Linked DNA regions of Cricetulus griseus. The protein of the gene in region 3 purifies or fractionates together with the protein of the main gene of each other region. This does not show direct contact. Links are inferred from orthologs where the notes say so. Each region holds a gene or a part of one and is shown on either strand. Other genes may lie near its edges. The genes, in order: Rbbp4, Eed, Phf1 and Ezh1.

Region 1 (3,821 bases), on a different chromosome or scaffold from region 3:
TTAACAAAGTCTGTGTCTCAAACCAGTGTTAAATCCACCTCAGGGTTCAGAAGAAAACAAGGGGAGTCTAAATCACAAGTGCAGACATGTCTACGATCCTTGTCCTTCTGGATCCACACTTCCTTCAGGGTCTTCATCATTATAAATGTTCTCTGCCTGCCAAAGTGTGAGAAAAGGGTATTTAGCATGAAGACAGTTACTTCTTGACCTTTCCATAATATATTATATTCCATAATATATTATATTCCATAATATATTATGGAAAGGTGCCTGATAACAATGTCCCCAAATAACATTTCAAAGAGGGACTTATAGTTTTAGCCATTCAGTGCTACTGCTGAACTAAAACAGCAACAGACAATGCACGAACGACATGAATCATAAATGGGCACATATGTGTTCAGTGAAAACAAGGAGCAGGCCACAGCTCTGAGTACAGGGCATTTTCACAAAGTATGGACGATCATCATTCCTGAACCCTATAACCAGATATATCACTGGTAATAGCTAAAATATAAACCAGAGGTTTCTATCATATACACAAAGTGATACTTATGACCACACACGCGCCCCTCCGTTGATGAAATATATAAAAGTCTAACACCAAATGTGTGGTTATTTCTCCCACCTCTGGATACTAACTGGGTAACCAAGAACCCTGTCACATCAACAATCATCAACACCAACATCATCTCAGAGAATTGTTGAAACCCCAGATCTGCAGTCTCAGTCCCTCTCTCACACCAAATGGAAGAGATAAACACAGGAGGGAGCAGGGCATTCACACTACTTGTCTCCTGGCAACCAGAATCTGGATTCTCAAACTACCAATTTTTGGTTGTGCCAAGATCACAGGGCAAGCCAAGAGCTTAATCTGCCACCCCACTGGAGAGGCAGAGAGTTTCAAGCGGTCAATTTTTAGCACTTACGCTGACTAGATCATGAGGCTATGTAGGGGTCTCACCAAAACCTTAGTATATGCACATATCCCACAATAGAGGTAGCAACCCCGGAGGGAATCTAGTTCACAACTCTGCAACCTTTTCTTTTGGCCAACCCCCTTTCCCCGCCCCAAGTGCAACCCGGTTTCTCTGTGTAGCTCTGGTTGCCCTTTAACTAAAACTAGGCAGGTAGACTGCTATGAATTAGAGATTCCACACTGAGATCCTTTCTCAAATGAATACAGCAGCAACACAACCCTTTACTGGAGACCAGAGACAGCTCAGTGGTAAAGGGCACTTGTTGCTCTTGCAAAGGATCCAGGTTCAGTTCTTTTTTGTTTTGGCAGGAGTGGGTGGGTGGGGTATTTCTGTGGCTTTGGAGGCTGTCCTGGAACTAGCTCTTGTAGACCAGGCTGGCCTCGAACTCCCAGAGTGCTTGGGATTAGTGGCATGCCCCCCGGCTAACTGTCTCTATTTCTAATACTATTTTTGTATCCCCACCCCCACCCCCGTCATAGTCAGGGTCTTATTCTCACAACAACCTTCCTGCTTGTGCTTCATGACTGTTGAGATTACAGGTAGTATTTTTGAAATCTAATAGGATGATATATAACTAGACCCAGAGGTGAAGAAACTTGAATTCTTGTAGCTGTAACAGGTAAGCAAAGACACACTGGTGCTACAGCATCACAACTATAGTGAGGAGGGCAAAGGGGGAATAAACCACAGTAGATCAGTTTTTATTAGCTAAACTAAAAACAAGCAGTGGGACAATCAGATAAAGGAAAAGTGTAAGCAAGCCGGACAGTGGTGGCGCATGCCTTTAATCCCGGCAATCAGGAGGCAGAGGCAGGCAGATCTCTTGAGTTTGAGGCCATTTTGGTCTACAGAGTTCTAAGACAGCCAGGACAGAGAAGTTGTTCAAAAAGACCAAAAACAGGGGCTGGAGTGATGGCTCAGAGGTTAAGAGCACTGACTAGTCTTCCAGAGGTCCTGAGTTCTGGCTCACAACCATCCGTTATGAGATCTGGTGCCCTCTTCTGGTGTGCAGACATACACGGAAGCAGAATGTTGTTTACATAGTAAATAAAATCTTAAAAAAAAAAAAAAAAAAAATGGCTGGTTGGTGGTGGTGCAGGCCTTTAATCCCAGCACCCAGGAGGCAGAGGGAAGCGGATCTCTGCGAGTCCGAGGCCAGCCTGGTCTCCAGAGAAGAGTGCCAGGATAGGCTCCAAAGCTACACAGAGAAACCCTGCCTCAAAAAAGACCAAAAACAAAACAAAACCAAAGCAACGAACTACCAGAGAAAACTACACATAAAAACACAGCTGAGGAAAACAGGGCAGAGATGGCAGTTGTATCCAAAGTGTGTGAGGTGTGTGAGTAATGATGGCCTCACGTACCTACTGTCCCCTAAATAATGGCCGAACACTTACCATCTGCCACACTTGCATGATATTGTCTTCTGATACAGAACAAATCACCCAAGGTTCATTGGGATTCCAGGAGAAATCAGATATCTTGGCAGTGTGACCACCATGAATAAACTGGAAGAGGGACCAAAACAAATATATTTAAACACAGAACATTAAATCATAGTCCACTATTCAAAACACAGAAGACCCCAAAGTGCCTGAAGGTCTGTAACATACCAACAACTCTGGTGGGCCATCTTCTGCATCTTCTGGGGACTGTTCTTCTCCAATTTTACTTAACAAAAAAGAATTAAGTCAGAAAACATTACCATGTGTGGTAGTTTGAATGTAACTGGCCCCCATAAGCTCACAGGCACTATTAGGAGTTGTGGCCTAAAGAGGTCTCATATATCCAAGACATGCCTAGTTTCTCAGTTAACTTCCTGTTGCCTGCACAAAATGTAGACCTCTAAAGCTACCACTCTAGCACCATGTCTAACCTGCAGAGCTATGTCCCACCATAAAGGACTGAGAACCTCTCAACTGTAAGCTACTTAATTAAACATGGCTGTGGTCATGACTGTTTCTTCACAGAAAAAGAAATCCTAAGACAGCTGAGCACTTATCTTTGAAAAAATGTGAAGACAGCAACTTTGCCAGGCTTAGTGACACTTGGAGGTAGAGAAATGAATTTCTCAGAGTTTGAGGTCAATATACAGATTGAGCTCTAGATCAGGGCCACATGAAACTGTCTCCTCGAAACAAACAAACAAACAAACAAACAAACAAAAAACCCCAAACCAACAAACCAGTAACCAACACAAAACTCACCTTAAATCCCAGACATTCAGCCTACGGTCAGTACCACTAGAAGCCAAAATAGTCTCGTTGTGAGGTGACCATTGAACCTATATCCAAGAGTCAACAAAGATGCAACCAATTAGAAATAGAAGGGGAAAATATCTCAAATTATATCCTACAAAACTTTGTAAATAAAAGGCAGTGAATACTGCTAAAACTTACAGATATTTCTCTCTTCACAGGGTTTCTCTATGGCTTTGGAGCCTGTCCTGGCACTTGCTTTATAGACCAGGCTGGCCTTGAACTCAGAGATCAGCCTGCCTTTGCTTCCCAGGTGCTGGGACTAAAGGCTTGCGCCACCACTGCCTGGACAGCTACTACTATACCCCAAAGATTCCTTATAATGATGTTAGGTAAAAGATAACCACACACACAAAACTATCACAAATCCTGTGGCTGTTAAGAAAGTGCTGGTTTGCTGGGTAGTGGTGGCACACACCTTTAATCCCAGCACTTTGAAAGCAGAGGCAGGAGGCTCCTTGTGAGTTCAAGGCCAGCCTGATCCACAGAATGAGTTTGCAGGACAGCTAGGACTGTTAAACAGAGATATCCTGACTTGAAGAAGAAGAAAAAAAGAAAGAAAAAAAAATGTTAGTTTATGGCA
Region 2 (3,821 bases), on a different chromosome or scaffold from region 3:
AGGGAGAGGAGAGAGAGAGAGAAGAGAGAGAGAGAGAGAGAGAGAGAGAGAGAGAGAGAGAGAGAGAGAGTGAACAGTAGTGATACCACAGCCTTTAATCCCAGCACTCCAGGAGGCAGGGACAGACTAAGTTCGAGCCTGATCTACAAAGCTACACAGAGAAGCCCTGTCTCCCAAAACCAAATCAAACAACTCACCTTTTGAAAATCCTAACATGGTGATACGTCATTCAAAGTGAAAAAGCAATGTGATTTTTTTCTTTTTTTTTTTGGGGGGGGGGAGTAAAGTTCTTGAACTATCTCTGTATAAAGTGAGGTTTGTTCTCTGGTCTTGGTTCATGAGATACTAATATAGGCTATTTTTTCCCTATTAAAACCTTTTTTCTTTTAATTTTGATTATTTCCCCTTAGAACACAACCTGTCTCTTTAAAATAATTATTCCGAAACAATCTGAACTAAAGAAACATTTGTTTCTGTAAGCTTACCTTTACTTACTGACAGGAGAAGATTTGGGTCTCGTGGGTGGAATTTCAGCTCATTGATAGCATTTCCATGGCCAACATAGTGCTACAATAAATTTAAAACATTTTTTTTCATATCTCAAAAACAAAACAAAACAAAACAAACAACAACAACAAAAAAAAACAATTCTCTTTCATAAACCATAAGAGAAAAAAGGCTGGGGATACAGCTCAGTGGTAGATCACTACCCTAGTGTACTCAAGGCCCAAGGTTCAGTGTCCAGCAAAGCTGCCAAACAAACTTCCACTTAAAGTTCTTCTCACCTTTGGCTATACACTAAAATTGCCCAACAAATTTAGAGAAAGGAAAATGGGACCAATTTGTCACCACTCAGCTAACAGCATTGCTTAAGTGAGCCCCAGGTTACAAACAGCAACATCTAAAGCCTGCCTTTTTATCAGCTTCCTTGGCTTTACCTTTCTGTCTCTTACAGGGTCCCCTGGAACCCACAATTCTTGATTTGGGTCCCTTGGGAAAAGTGGTTATTTTTCAGTTAAAAATGTCCAAAGCAATCACAAGAAAACCCACAGAATCAACTAACCTGGGCTGATAGGAGCTCAGAGTCTGAAACAACAATCAGGAGCCTGTATAGGAATGATGCAGGCCCTCTGAATGTATTTGAATTGTATAGCTTGGTCTTCTTGTGGCACTCCTAACAGTGGGAGCAGAGGCTGTCTCCTTGGCTGGATTTTGGGTCCCTATTCCTCACAATGAGTAGCTTTGCCCAGCCTTAACGCAAGGGGAGGTCCTTGGTCTTACTGCAACTTGATGTGCCATGTTTTGTTGCTATTCATGGGAGTCCTGACCATTTCTGAACAGAATTAGAGGAGGAGTAGATAGGTGGGTGGAGGGAGGCTGGGAGGAAAGAAGGGAGGGAGGGGAAACTTCAGTTGGGATGTAAAATAAATAAATTTTTTAAGGTGCTCAAAGCAAGGGAAGGAGAGAAATTAAAAAATGGTGGGTATTGGAGCTGGGCAGTGGTGGCACACACCTTTTATCCCAGCACTAGCGAGGCAGGGGAGGGTGGATCTCTTTGAGTTTGAGGCCAGCCTGGTCTACAAAGATACACAGAGGGGGAAGGAAAAAAAAAGGTAAGTATTAACACTTTCCTATGTATTCCTTAATTTACATCCTCTAATTGTCACAGAAGTTTCAAAGGACTACTCTAAAGAAAGTAACGGATTAGCAAGATGGCTTAGCATGTAAAGGTGCTGGCTGGCATCCCTGAAAGCCGAATTGGGTCTTTAGGACACACACAGATGAAGATGGGAACTGACACCTCTGACCTCATCCACGTATACACACTCATGTACCTGCTCCATACACCCAAGTGAATAAATGCAGTAAAGGAGAAACAATAAGCAAGGCATAAATCAAATCAAATTGACTACATTAGTTTTAAAGTCATTCCATGAAGTTGTAGCCTGAGTATTCAAAAACAGCCAATCTACAATTTGACCAAAGACCCACCTTTATACACTGCATCGTTATGGGATTAATTATCCTTATTATGCCTCTAGACCCAGCAACAGCAAGTAGAGGGTGGCTGGTGTTGCTATCATAGGTCCATGCACAAGTATAAAAGTTTTCATCTGCCTAAGAAATGCCAGTTAAGAGATATAATTTATTTTGAAAAATAAACACGTTAATATTTACAATAAACAGAACCTTCTAAACAACAGCTAAAGTTTTAATTATTCATTTTTCTTTATACAAAATTTGCACGGTGATACCCAGGTGTCCCAGGAGTCAAGAGGCAGAAGCTGGAGGGTTTTCTTAAACTAAAATCCAGCTAGGGCTACTCAGCAAGGCCCTATTCTCAAAAATAAATAATATTCACAGTGGCAGCACTTTTAGGTTTAAAATCCATTACCAAATAAGCTCTCTCCTTGCACACTTCTCTTTAGCTGCCTGTAGAACTATTCCCCTCCACTGGAGTACTGCCAAAGCAGCAAGGAAGAGCAGCTCAGCATAGGCATAACTGTTCTTCAGTAAAACATTATTTACAAAGCTGGGTAGTGAGACTGCAGGCTTTACTTCGCTGACCCTTTGTCCTGATAGTGCTATGAACCTATAAATGGTTCATTTCCCACCATCCTAACATGGCAACTGTTCACTCGTTTCCATGTTATCTACAGATTCAGTGCTGCCCCCAGCCTTCACTTTCTGTATTTTTTCAAATGGATCTGGAAGAAACATCTCATCACTCAGCCTTTTAAAACTCCTTAAAAACAAAAATAAATAAATAAATAAACCCTTGGGCTTTTAAATTAAGATCTTCCTTTTCTTCATAACTCACTCTTCAATAATTTCCTAAATTACCCACACTTATTTTTTCCATCTCAGCTTTTTTGATCAGATACTTAGAATGACTGCCAGCTATGTATTAAATTACACTGGGGGCGCTGGAGAGATGGCTCAGCAGTTAAGAGCACTGGCTGCTCTTCCAGAGGTCCTGAGTTCAACTTCCAGCACCCACATGGTGGCTCACAACCATCTGTAATGAGATCTGGTGCCCTCTTCTGGCCTGCAGGCAGACATGCAAGCAAAAAACTCTATATACAATAATAAAATAAATCTTAAAAAAAACAAAACAAAAAAAAAAACACTACACTGAAATTGTAAAATTCTAGGCTTAGCTGGTCCCTGCTGACAATTTCTACCATGGATTTCTAATGGTCCCAACTCCACTCGTCTTGTACCCACCATCACATTCACCTCATGACAAATTCAAGATCAGGTACATGAGATACTAGGATTGATCCCCTTGGGTAACAATGATAATATTCCTAGCTAAAGAAAGATAGGACAGTATATTTGTAGTTTGAGGCAAGCCCGGTCTACAGAGCTACACAGAGGAAACCCCGTCTCGGGAAAAAAAAAAGTTTTAGTGTACTTATCAAACTCAATGTTTTAAACCATACAAAAGCAGCGAGAGAAGGATACATCAGCATCTACATAGGACTGCAATAACCGGATTTCCCCTTGTGAATGGCACTCATATAAGGTAACCTAAAGAAACAAAAATATGCATATCATTTCAGAGAAAGAAACATTCTCTGACTCTTAAAACATTCTAGCCAAAATTACAACTTAGTGACATTACAAAAACTGCTTGCAGCAGCTCTGTAAGCTTATCCAAACCATTATAAATCCTCACACCTTCTATGTGATACTAGCCTGGCAATAGTAGTTTCTATTTCCAAACATTTAAATATACATTTCATCCATATAATCAGAACTTTTCCAAAGTGAGTAAAGTTAAAACTTTAAAATAATTACGGTTTATTCTTCTTTAA
Region 3 (4,507 bases):
CCAGGGCTTCATCTCTAGACTTCTGACCTCTTCCAGGCCTACTAGTGGATATAAGACAACTATGCTTAGGGGCGGGAACCAGGCCGAGCCTACTTTCAACAGCCCTTATTTCAATATTTTGGAGGGCGGCCCCAGCATTGGAGCTGGGGTAGATGGACCAACGCTGATCTTGTATAACCTTCTTGGTCCACAGGTGAACCAGTGTGTTATCGGTACTGCTCAGGCTAATAAGAAGTGAAGATGGCCAGAGCCTGGTTCCGCTGCCGCTGGGTTGATTGTGTCTCTCTCTGTGTGTACTGGGGGGGAGAGGGGGGTGAGAGATACGCTTTTATTGGGTGGACATCATTTGTACCCAACTATCAAATAAAGAAATTTTGTTGTAGACTTTACGCATGGTTGTTTTGCCTGGGTGTGTGTACATGTGCGCCATGTGTATGCCTGGTGCTTCTTGAGTTCAGAAGAGGGCTGGCTTCAGGTCCTCTGGACCTGGTCTGATGGATGGCTGTGAGCGACTGTGGGTTCTCTGCAAAAGCAGTCAGTGCTCTTAACGACGAGCCATCTCTGCAGCCCTTGTTACGGCTCTTAAATAAAGGTCTTGTTAGTCCTGGTAGGTTGTAAACAAATACCGTAAGCTTGCAGAAGTGTGGCTTCTGACGTGTGCTTTGCACAGTGAGGCTATGGGCTTTTCTCTGTTGGGCTCTCACTTGGCTGTCCTTCAGCGCGGGTGTTGCACCCATAGCTGCCACACCGGGCCTGGTGTGAGTCCCAGCGCGCTCGATCCGCATCCCCTCCCTCTGCCTGCCCACCGCTTGGAACTACGGTTCCCTGCCGCCCGCTGCCCATTGGCTGGCTGTGGGCACGTCACCGGCTGGGTGCTGGCCCTGCCGCCCTGGCTCGCCCGCTCGCCGGCCCTGGCCCGCTCGCTCGCCTGCCCGCCCGGGAGGGAGGAGCGCAGCCGCACCGGGCTCCCGCGGCAGGAGGTGTGGCTGTCTGCCCAGGTGCAGCGCCCAGGCGGGGCCGCGCGTGCGCAGAAGGGCGGGGCGACAGGAAGTGTGAATGGGGAGGGCGGGGCCGCGTGCGGAGGCGGGGCTTGGAGTGGCCACGGGGGCGGGGCAGCTAACGGATGTGGCATGGGGCGGGGCTGGGCCCTGACCTGCAGGCTGGCTGCCAGCAGGGTTATTTCCTGCCGCTCCCGGGGCGAGCCTCCCGTCCGGAAAGGGGGCTGCAGGGGTCCCCTCGTCCTGCCCGGCCGGCCGCGCCCCCAGCCGTGCGGTGCCCTCGGGGCCTGCCGGGGGTGAGGGAGGTGCTGCCTGTCCGCCCCTCCGGCTTCTCCTCCCTCTGGTGCTCCCCACCCACTACTCCTCCCTCCCGCCCTCCCGCGGCCGACTCCTCCCGCCGCCGCCGCCGCTGCTTTGGCTGCTGCGTCATACGCCCCAGAGCCGCTAGGACGGAGGGGCTGGGCCCCGGGACCCCCGGCCTCCTCCTGCACGCCCTCGGCGTCCGCACGCACTCCGCCCGCGCCGGGGCTCGCGCCCCTAGGGCTCTGGGGTCTGCCCCTAGCTGGCTCCCTGCTGACCCAGCTGTCACCGGTAAGAAGGAGGCGGGAGGCCCTGAGCGGGGGCAGGGAGGGGGCCGGGGGTCGATGCTCAGCAGGGGGCAGGAGAGCCTCTTGGCACCGGCTTAGGATCCGGGCTGGGGGGACTCGAGTCCCTCCTCAGACCGGCGGTGTAGGGTAGCGGAGACCTGGACAGGGACACGCCCCCCTCCTGGGGCACTCGGGGAAGTTATCTAATCCCAGGGCAAGCAGCCTCAAATTTGAGGGTGACCTAACATAACCTGGCACCAGGACAGCGGTTCTAAATGAGACACACAGGCCTGGGGAGGCGGATGTCTCTACTCAGGGAAACATCTCCAGAAAAGCTCCCAAAATATCTCTGGGCAACCGAGCGTCCCAGTTAGGATACCTCTAAACAGCTGGGAAAGGCGAAACTGAATGAATGGTAACCTTGGCTCTGAAAGCATCTTTTCCCCTAAGGCCCCAGGGAGCTGGGATGCTAGAGAACCAGGCTGGGGACCAGGGTGACCCACCTCCTTAGGTGTCTAAAGGATTCAGTGACTGAGCTTGGAGGTGCTTGGTCCCTTATCCTTGACAGTAAAAGCAGACAGAGCAGCCAAGCCTTCTTAACATTCATAAACTCTTCCATCGTATCTGATTAGCCCCTCCCAGGATGCAATGGCGCAGCTCCCCCGGCTGAGCCGCTTGGGTGCACCCTCTCTTTGGGATCCAGCTTCCCCTGCTCCCACCTCAGGCCCTAGACCTCGACTTTGGGAGGGTCAAGACGTGCTGGCTAGGTGGACCGATGGGCTGCTGTATTTAGGCACCATCAAAAAGGTAAGAGCCAACTCTGGGCCCCACCATGGATCCTCTCCCTCTGATTCCTGCTCCCACTTTATAATCTTTGCTCACCCACTCCAGGTGGACAGTGCTCGGGAGGTGTGTCTGGTCCAGTTTGAGGATGATTCCCAGTTTCTGGTTCTATGGAAGGACATCAGCCCGGGTGAGACCCTTCATAACTGCAGAAGCTGGAGGGTGTGGGGGACACTGGCTGAAGTAAGCCACCTGACACCTTGTCCCTCACAGCTGCCCTCCCTGGGGAGGAGCTCCTCTGCTGTGTCTGTCGCTCTGAGACGGTGGTCCCTGGGAACCGGCTGGTCAGCTGTGAGAAGTGTCGTCATGGTGAGAGGAGAGGGCAGGATACTTGAATGGTACAGTTTGCCCTGGGTCTTCTGGATTGCCAGTTGTCTTCCTAGCATGGGTCTTGTGTCTCCTATCTTGGCCAGTCTTCACCCTGTCACCTCATCTCAGTACAGGGAGAGGGAGCCATAGGATGAAGATGACATAAGCCATGCAAGGTTGAGGGTAGCTACATACATCTCTCTCTCTCTCTAAGGTTGAGGGTAGCTACATACCTCTCACTCTCTCTCTCTCTCTCTCTCTCTCTCTCTCTCTCTCTCTGTCTTTTAAAGATTTGTTTATTTATTATACAGTGTTCTGCCTGCATGTACAACTTCAGGCCAGAAAAGGGTACCAGATGTCACTACAGATGGTTGTGAGCCACCATGTGGTTGCTGGGAATTGAACTTAGGACCTCTGGAAGAGCAGCCAGTGCTCTTAACCTCTGAGCCATCTCTCCAGCCCCCCCACCAAACACACACCACACACACACACACACACACACACACACACACACACACACACACAGTAGGACCATGGTCAGGATATAAACGCACAAGGGAAGGCTGCCGTGTACGAGCACCAAGCCAATGCAGGTGCGCACACAGTGTTTGACTCTCAACATTGTCCTTATTCAGCTTATCACCAGGACTGTCACGTTCCCAGGGCCCCAGCCCCTGGAGAAGGAGAGGGCACATCCTGGGTCTGCCGCCAGTGTGTCTTTGCGATTGCCACCAAGGTAAAGGCACCTCTCTGCCACTTCCTATGGGAGCCTCCCATGGCCCCTTCTCTCCTGCCTCTCTGAGGTTTCCACCTGTTCCTCTGCAGAGGGGGGGCGCCCTGAAGAAGGGCCCCTATGCCCGGGCCATGCTGGGCATGAAGCTCTGTCTGCCGTATGGACTAAAGGGGCTGGACTGGGACGCCGGGCACTTGAGCAACCGACAGCAGAGCTACTGTTACTGTGGAGGCCCCGGGGAGTGAGTGGTGGGGGTGCTGAGTTCTGGGGTGGACGCTGTGGTGGTAGAGCCTGGAATAAAGGGGAAGGGGCAGGCTGAGGGGAGCCCCGAGGTGATGGGAGGTGGGTGAGGGTTCAGGGTGGTCTCAGGCAGGCTGTCTTCCCCTGAGGTGGAACCTGAAAATGCTGCAGTGTCGGAGCTGTCTCCAGTGGTTCCACGAGGCCTGCACCCAGTGTCTGAGCAAGCCCCTCCTCTACGGAGACAGGTGAGCCCAAAGGAGGCTGTCCAGGAAGCCCAGGGCGCCCGCCTGCTGTGCTCCACCCACGCCCAGGCCTCCCAGCGTTCGCTGTCTACCACTTGTAGAGTTGAACGAGGTGCGTTCTCTGTCCTCATGTCCAGATTCTATGAATTTGAATGCTGTGTGTGCCGGGGTGGCCCTGAGAAGGTCCGGAGGTTACAGCTTCGCTGGTGAGATGGATTGTGCCTTCCTTCCTTCCTTCCTTCCTTCCTTCCTTCCTTCCTTCCTTCCTTCCTTCCTTCCTGTTCCCCGCTGTTTGACTCTCATATGCGCTGCTGCCTTCCTGCCTCTCCAGGGTGGATGTGGCCCACCTGGTCCTCTACCACCTCAGTGTCTGCTGCAAGAAAAAATACTTCGATTTTGACCGAGAGATCCTCCCCTTCGCCTCTGAGAACTGGGACAGTCTGCTCCTGGGGGAGGTACGGGTCCTGAAGTTTGGGAGCTGAGGTGGGATGCGGAGAGGAATGACTGCTCTCTGACCCATTTGCCCTCTTCCTGCAGCTTTCAGACACCCCTAAG
Region 4 (3,821 bases), on a different chromosome or scaffold from region 3:
AATTGCACAACCCAAAGAGGAAAGGTGAGGTGGGATCAGAAGTAAGAGCTACTTTTCTACTAACCCCCAGACTCCTGTCTCTTAGTAGATATGTATGTATGTGCACACTTATTACTTACGTATGTACATGCTTATTACTTATGTGTGTAGCGGGTCCACAGAGGCCAGAAGGCAGTGTTAGATCTCTCTGAGCTATAGTCACAGCAGTTGTGAGGGTGCCAGGAACAGAACCCAGGTTTTCTGCTTTTGACCACTTAGCCATCTCTTCAGGCCCTAACATACTGATTTTTAATTTTAATTATGTGTGTATATCTGTGGGTGACTATGTGCACCTGAGTGCAAGAGCCCTTGGAAGCCAAAAGGTGGCATCAGATCCCTTGGAGCTAAAGCTGTTATTTCCTTCTAAGCTGCCTGATATGGGTGCTGGGAACCCAGAGTTTTCTACAAGCACTTTTACCCATTCCAGCTCCTTCTACGAGATAGTCTAACTCCTCAGCTAAGTATGGTGGCACACGTCAATAATCCCAGTACTCTAGAGGCAGAGGCAGGTAGATCTCTGTGAATTTAAGGCCACCCAGGACTGCATAGTGAAACCCTGTCTCAAAACAAAACAAAAAATAACAACAAAATAAACTCTAGCTAGTATGTTGAAATAAAGGCTCTTTACCCAGCTCAATTAATATTTGTGGGGGAAAAATGTGTTCTAAAGAACTCTAGCTGGAGTGAGTATAGACAGAGTAGAGTATAAACAGAGTAGAGTCATAGGTGCAACCCCTAGAACCACAACCACTCAGTCTTCAGCTATTACACAAACATGAGGAATTCTCTATATGGGTCCGCTGTGGTGGCACATGCCCGTAATTCCAGAAGCTGAGAGGTAGGGGCAGGAGGATGAGGAGTTCAAGGTTAGGCCTGGGTTATCAAAAATTCTCAAAATCCCAAAAGACTTCGCTGTGTATATTCTTTTTCTTTTCTTCAAACTTTTACAAAAATTCTATGTATTTAGTGGGTGTGTACAGAGATGTAGACACACCCTGCCATTCACGTGTGTGGAGATAAGAGGACAGACAACGCAGGAAGCAGTTCTCTCTGTCCATCATGTGGTTCCAGGGATCTAAGCCAGGCTTCCTGGCAAGTTTGTTTTGCTGCCTTTACCTGCTGAACCACCTCACCAGCCCTCCTTCTTTTTTCTCTTTCCCCCTCTTCCCCCTCTTGTGAGGCAGGGTTTTAGTCTAGGTCCAAGTGATTCACCTGCCTTTCTTGCAATGCTAGAGATATGTATGTATGTAGGTAGGTAGGTAGGTAACACTGCATCCAGATAAACAAATCTGCAGGTGATAGCGGTTGTGGAAACATGATTTCATTAGTAGCACAGGTTGGCCTTGAACTCTGATCCTCCTGCCTCAGACTCCCAGAGTAGAATTCCAGACCTAGTTAGTTACATACTACCATGCTCAACCCATATAACCTTTTTTTCCCACTTTTATTTTTATTTATTTATATGTATGTGTATGCCAAGTGTGTGCGGATGCCCGAGGACAGAAGTGTCAGGTGTCTCCTTGAACTGAAATTACACATGGTTGTGAGCTGCCTACCACGGATGCGGGGAACCAAACTCAGGTCCTTTGGAAGAGCAGAAAGTGCTTTTAACCACTGAGCCACCTCTCCAGCCCTAACACTTTTTAAAAACAACATCCTAAAGAAAGAGGAGACTGTGAATGCATCGTAGGAAAAACTCCTGTTTCTCAGTTCTCCCTAAAAGGAGAAGATGGGAGAAGCATCATATCTAGTTCCTATTTCCAGACTCCCCACCTGACTTTCACAGCTGGGAAAAGTGGCACATCCCTGTAACCTCAGCTATCTAAGCTGTGGAGAAAGGAAAACTGCTTGAAAATATAGAGAGTGGGGAGGGGAGAAAGGGGAAGAGTTGGGAGAGCAAGGAGAGACTTTGAGAGCCCAGGAGTTGGGGTGCTTTTATACAGTAGAACAGGGGTTAGAGTGATGGCTTATCAGCATGGGGAACTGGCTGCTCTTCCAGAGGACCTGGGATTGATTCCCAGCACCCACACAGTGGCTCACACTGTCTGTGACTCTAGTTCCAAGAGATCTGACTCCCTTTTCTGACTTCCTTGGACAACAGGTATGCCCACAATGCAGACATACATGTAGGCAAAACGCTCATATACATAAAACAATAAAATAATGTTTTAAAATTAAAAATAGACTAACCAACCCCCACAACTTTTCAGTGGCTCACACCTTCCTGCCCTGTAGGATGCCTGAACCATAGCAAAGGGATATCAAAGGTCTACAGGCAGCTATGGGGCAGAAGGGAGCCTGGAGACTCCAAGGCCAACCACTTTGGTAGACGATGGTGAAAGCAGGGTGCTCTTACAGTCTGGGCTGCACTGGCAGAACTTCTCACAGAAATTCTGGGTCATGATGCAGGGGCAGGTGCTGTCACAGGGACGGTCTGGGTGGTCACAGGGTTGGTAGTTATACACCTGTGTAGAAGAGTTATCTAGAAGAGAATAGAGAAGGACACTGCTATGACCAGGCTCCCTTGATGCCCTACTCTCCAAATGTTCCAGTGCCCCAAGTCAAAGTAAGCTTGTCCTAATCATGACTTTAGACACACTTAGCACCTGATAAAGTAGCTGACCCCTGTACATAAACATGTGAGATATCTGCTTTGTGGGTAGGGTGTGGAGAAGGCCAGAGATAACAAGGCAGCTACTCTAAACATGAAAAGAGGTCTGGCACTGGCAAACAGCACACTAGGAAACTTAAGAGACCACAAGGCCTTAAGTTTATCTCCTGAGAGGGCATCTTAGCTGTAGCCACTGGCTCAGCCCTTGAGACGCTGCAAAGAAATCTGCAATCTGCAGAAGCAGCCAGGGTCAACAAGAGAGCTATAGGTGTGGCAGGGTGAAAACCACAGGGTGAGGCTTCAGTCTGAACTGTGTGTACCTGTGTATGTGAGCGCATGTGCGCATGTGCCTAGGATGGAGCCTATAATCTTGAACACGCTAAGAACACACTCTACTCTAAGTGGGGGCCTTTCTCCCACTGAACTCACCTTTCTTCAGCTGAATTTTCCTGCAGTGTGCGGCCCACAACCTAGGAGAGAGAGACGGGATAGGTCTGAATCCCGATCCTCTGTAGATGCAGACAAATGACAGTGTGCCCTGCTCTGAGGGACAGTTTGACAACTTTGAGGTACCCTTCCAGAGTTCCTTAGAAGGAGGCACCTACTTTGGTCGGCTGAATCTAGAGCCTGTCTAACAAAGCAAAAACTCACAAACTTGTCTCTTATCACACTATTGCTCCTTCCTTTTCCTTCCTATTGCTCCTTCCTTTTCCTTCGTTCTCTTTGCCAGAGCTCTAAGGTGGGAAAGTCTTTCAGTGAGGAAACTGACAGGAAAGAGACAGAACAGCTTTTGTATCTGGAGCTAGAGCCACCTCCCTTCCCTGGCTACCAATACACATCAGGGAATCTGGCTGTCTGTCAGAGTGATAGTTTTATTTTCAGACAGGGTCTCACTATGTAGCCCTGCCTGGCCTGACACTATGTAGAACAGACTGGCATTGAACTCACAGAGGCCCATCTGCCTCTGCCTCTGCCTCTTGAGTACTGGGATTAACCATGTCTAGCTACTAAACTTTCTTCAACTTCCAATCCATATACACAGTTATGTGATTCTGAAAAACAACACATATAAATATCTAGATAAAAAAAAAAAAGGAACAAACTCCTGAGAGGTGATAAGTGGGGAAGAGAGTCGCCACCCAAGAAGGGGAAACAATCCTAGTGTAGAGTT

The links.
Region 1: the proteins of Phf1 (region 3) and Rbbp4 purify together in Homo sapiens (affinity purification with mass spectrometry; 5 studies listed by BioGRID and IntAct, with this or other methods). This does not show direct contact. The link is inferred for Cricetulus griseus from reciprocal best matches to the Homo sapiens genes PHF1 and RBBP4.
Region 2: the proteins of Phf1 (region 3) and Eed purify together in Homo sapiens (affinity purification with mass spectrometry; 8 studies listed by BioGRID and IntAct, with this or other methods). This does not show direct contact. The link is inferred for Cricetulus griseus from reciprocal best matches to the Homo sapiens genes PHF1 and EED.
Region 4: the proteins of Phf1 (region 3) and Ezh1 purify together in Homo sapiens (affinity purification with mass spectrometry; 5 studies listed by BioGRID and IntAct, with this or other methods). This does not show direct contact. The link is inferred for Cricetulus griseus from reciprocal best matches to the Homo sapiens genes PHF1 and EZH1.

Annotation. Positions count from the first base shown.
Region 1 is NC_048595.1:23,715,014-23,718,834, reverse strand, and holds part of Rbbp4 (histone-binding protein RBBP4), read right to left. Parts: intron 3,265-3,821; coding exon 3,188-3,264; intron 2,652-3,187; coding exon 2,594-2,651; intron 2,489-2,593; coding exon 2,378-2,488; intron 157-2,377; coding exon 91-156; 3' UTR 1-90. UniProt on the Homo sapiens protein: Core histone-binding subunit that may target chromatin assembly factors, chromatin remodeling factors and histone deacetylases to their histone substrates in a manner that is regulated by nucleosomal DNA.
Region 2 is NC_048596.1:109,139,606-109,143,426, reverse strand, and holds part of Eed (polycomb protein EED), read right to left. Parts: intron 3,535-3,821; coding exon 3,469-3,534; intron 2,119-3,468; coding exon 1,993-2,118; intron 568-1,992; coding exon 486-567; intron 1-485. UniProt on the Homo sapiens protein: Polycomb group (PcG) protein. Component of the PRC2/EED-EZH2 complex, which methylates 'Lys-9' and 'Lys-27' of histone H3, leading to transcriptional repression of the affected target gene.
Region 3 is NW_023276806.1:232,130,776-232,135,282, forward strand, and holds the start of Phf1 (PHD finger protein 1), read left to right. Parts: upstream 1-1,430; 5' UTR 1,431-1,589; intron 1,590-2,217; 5' UTR 2,218-2,233; coding exon 2,234-2,392; intron 2,393-2,476; coding exon 2,477-2,558; intron 2,559-2,641; coding exon 2,642-2,737; intron 2,738-3,372; coding exon 3,373-3,473; intron 3,474-3,562; coding exon 3,563-3,711; intron 3,712-3,859; coding exon 3,860-3,955; intron 3,956-4,089; coding exon 4,090-4,158; intron 4,159-4,283; coding exon 4,284-4,407; intron 4,408-4,489; coding exon 4,490-4,507. Other genes in the region: kinesin-like protein KIFC1, read left to right, coding at 194-238. UniProt on the Homo sapiens protein: Polycomb group (PcG) that specifically binds histone H3 trimethylated at 'Lys-36' (H3K36me3) and recruits the PRC2 complex. Involved in DNA damage response and is recruited at double-strand breaks (DSBs).
Region 4 is NC_048600.1:114,246,621-114,250,441, forward strand, and holds part of Ezh1 (histone-lysine N-methyltransferase EZH1), read right to left. Parts: intron 3,121-3,821; coding exon 3,080-3,120; intron 2,522-3,079; coding exon 2,396-2,521; intron 1-2,395.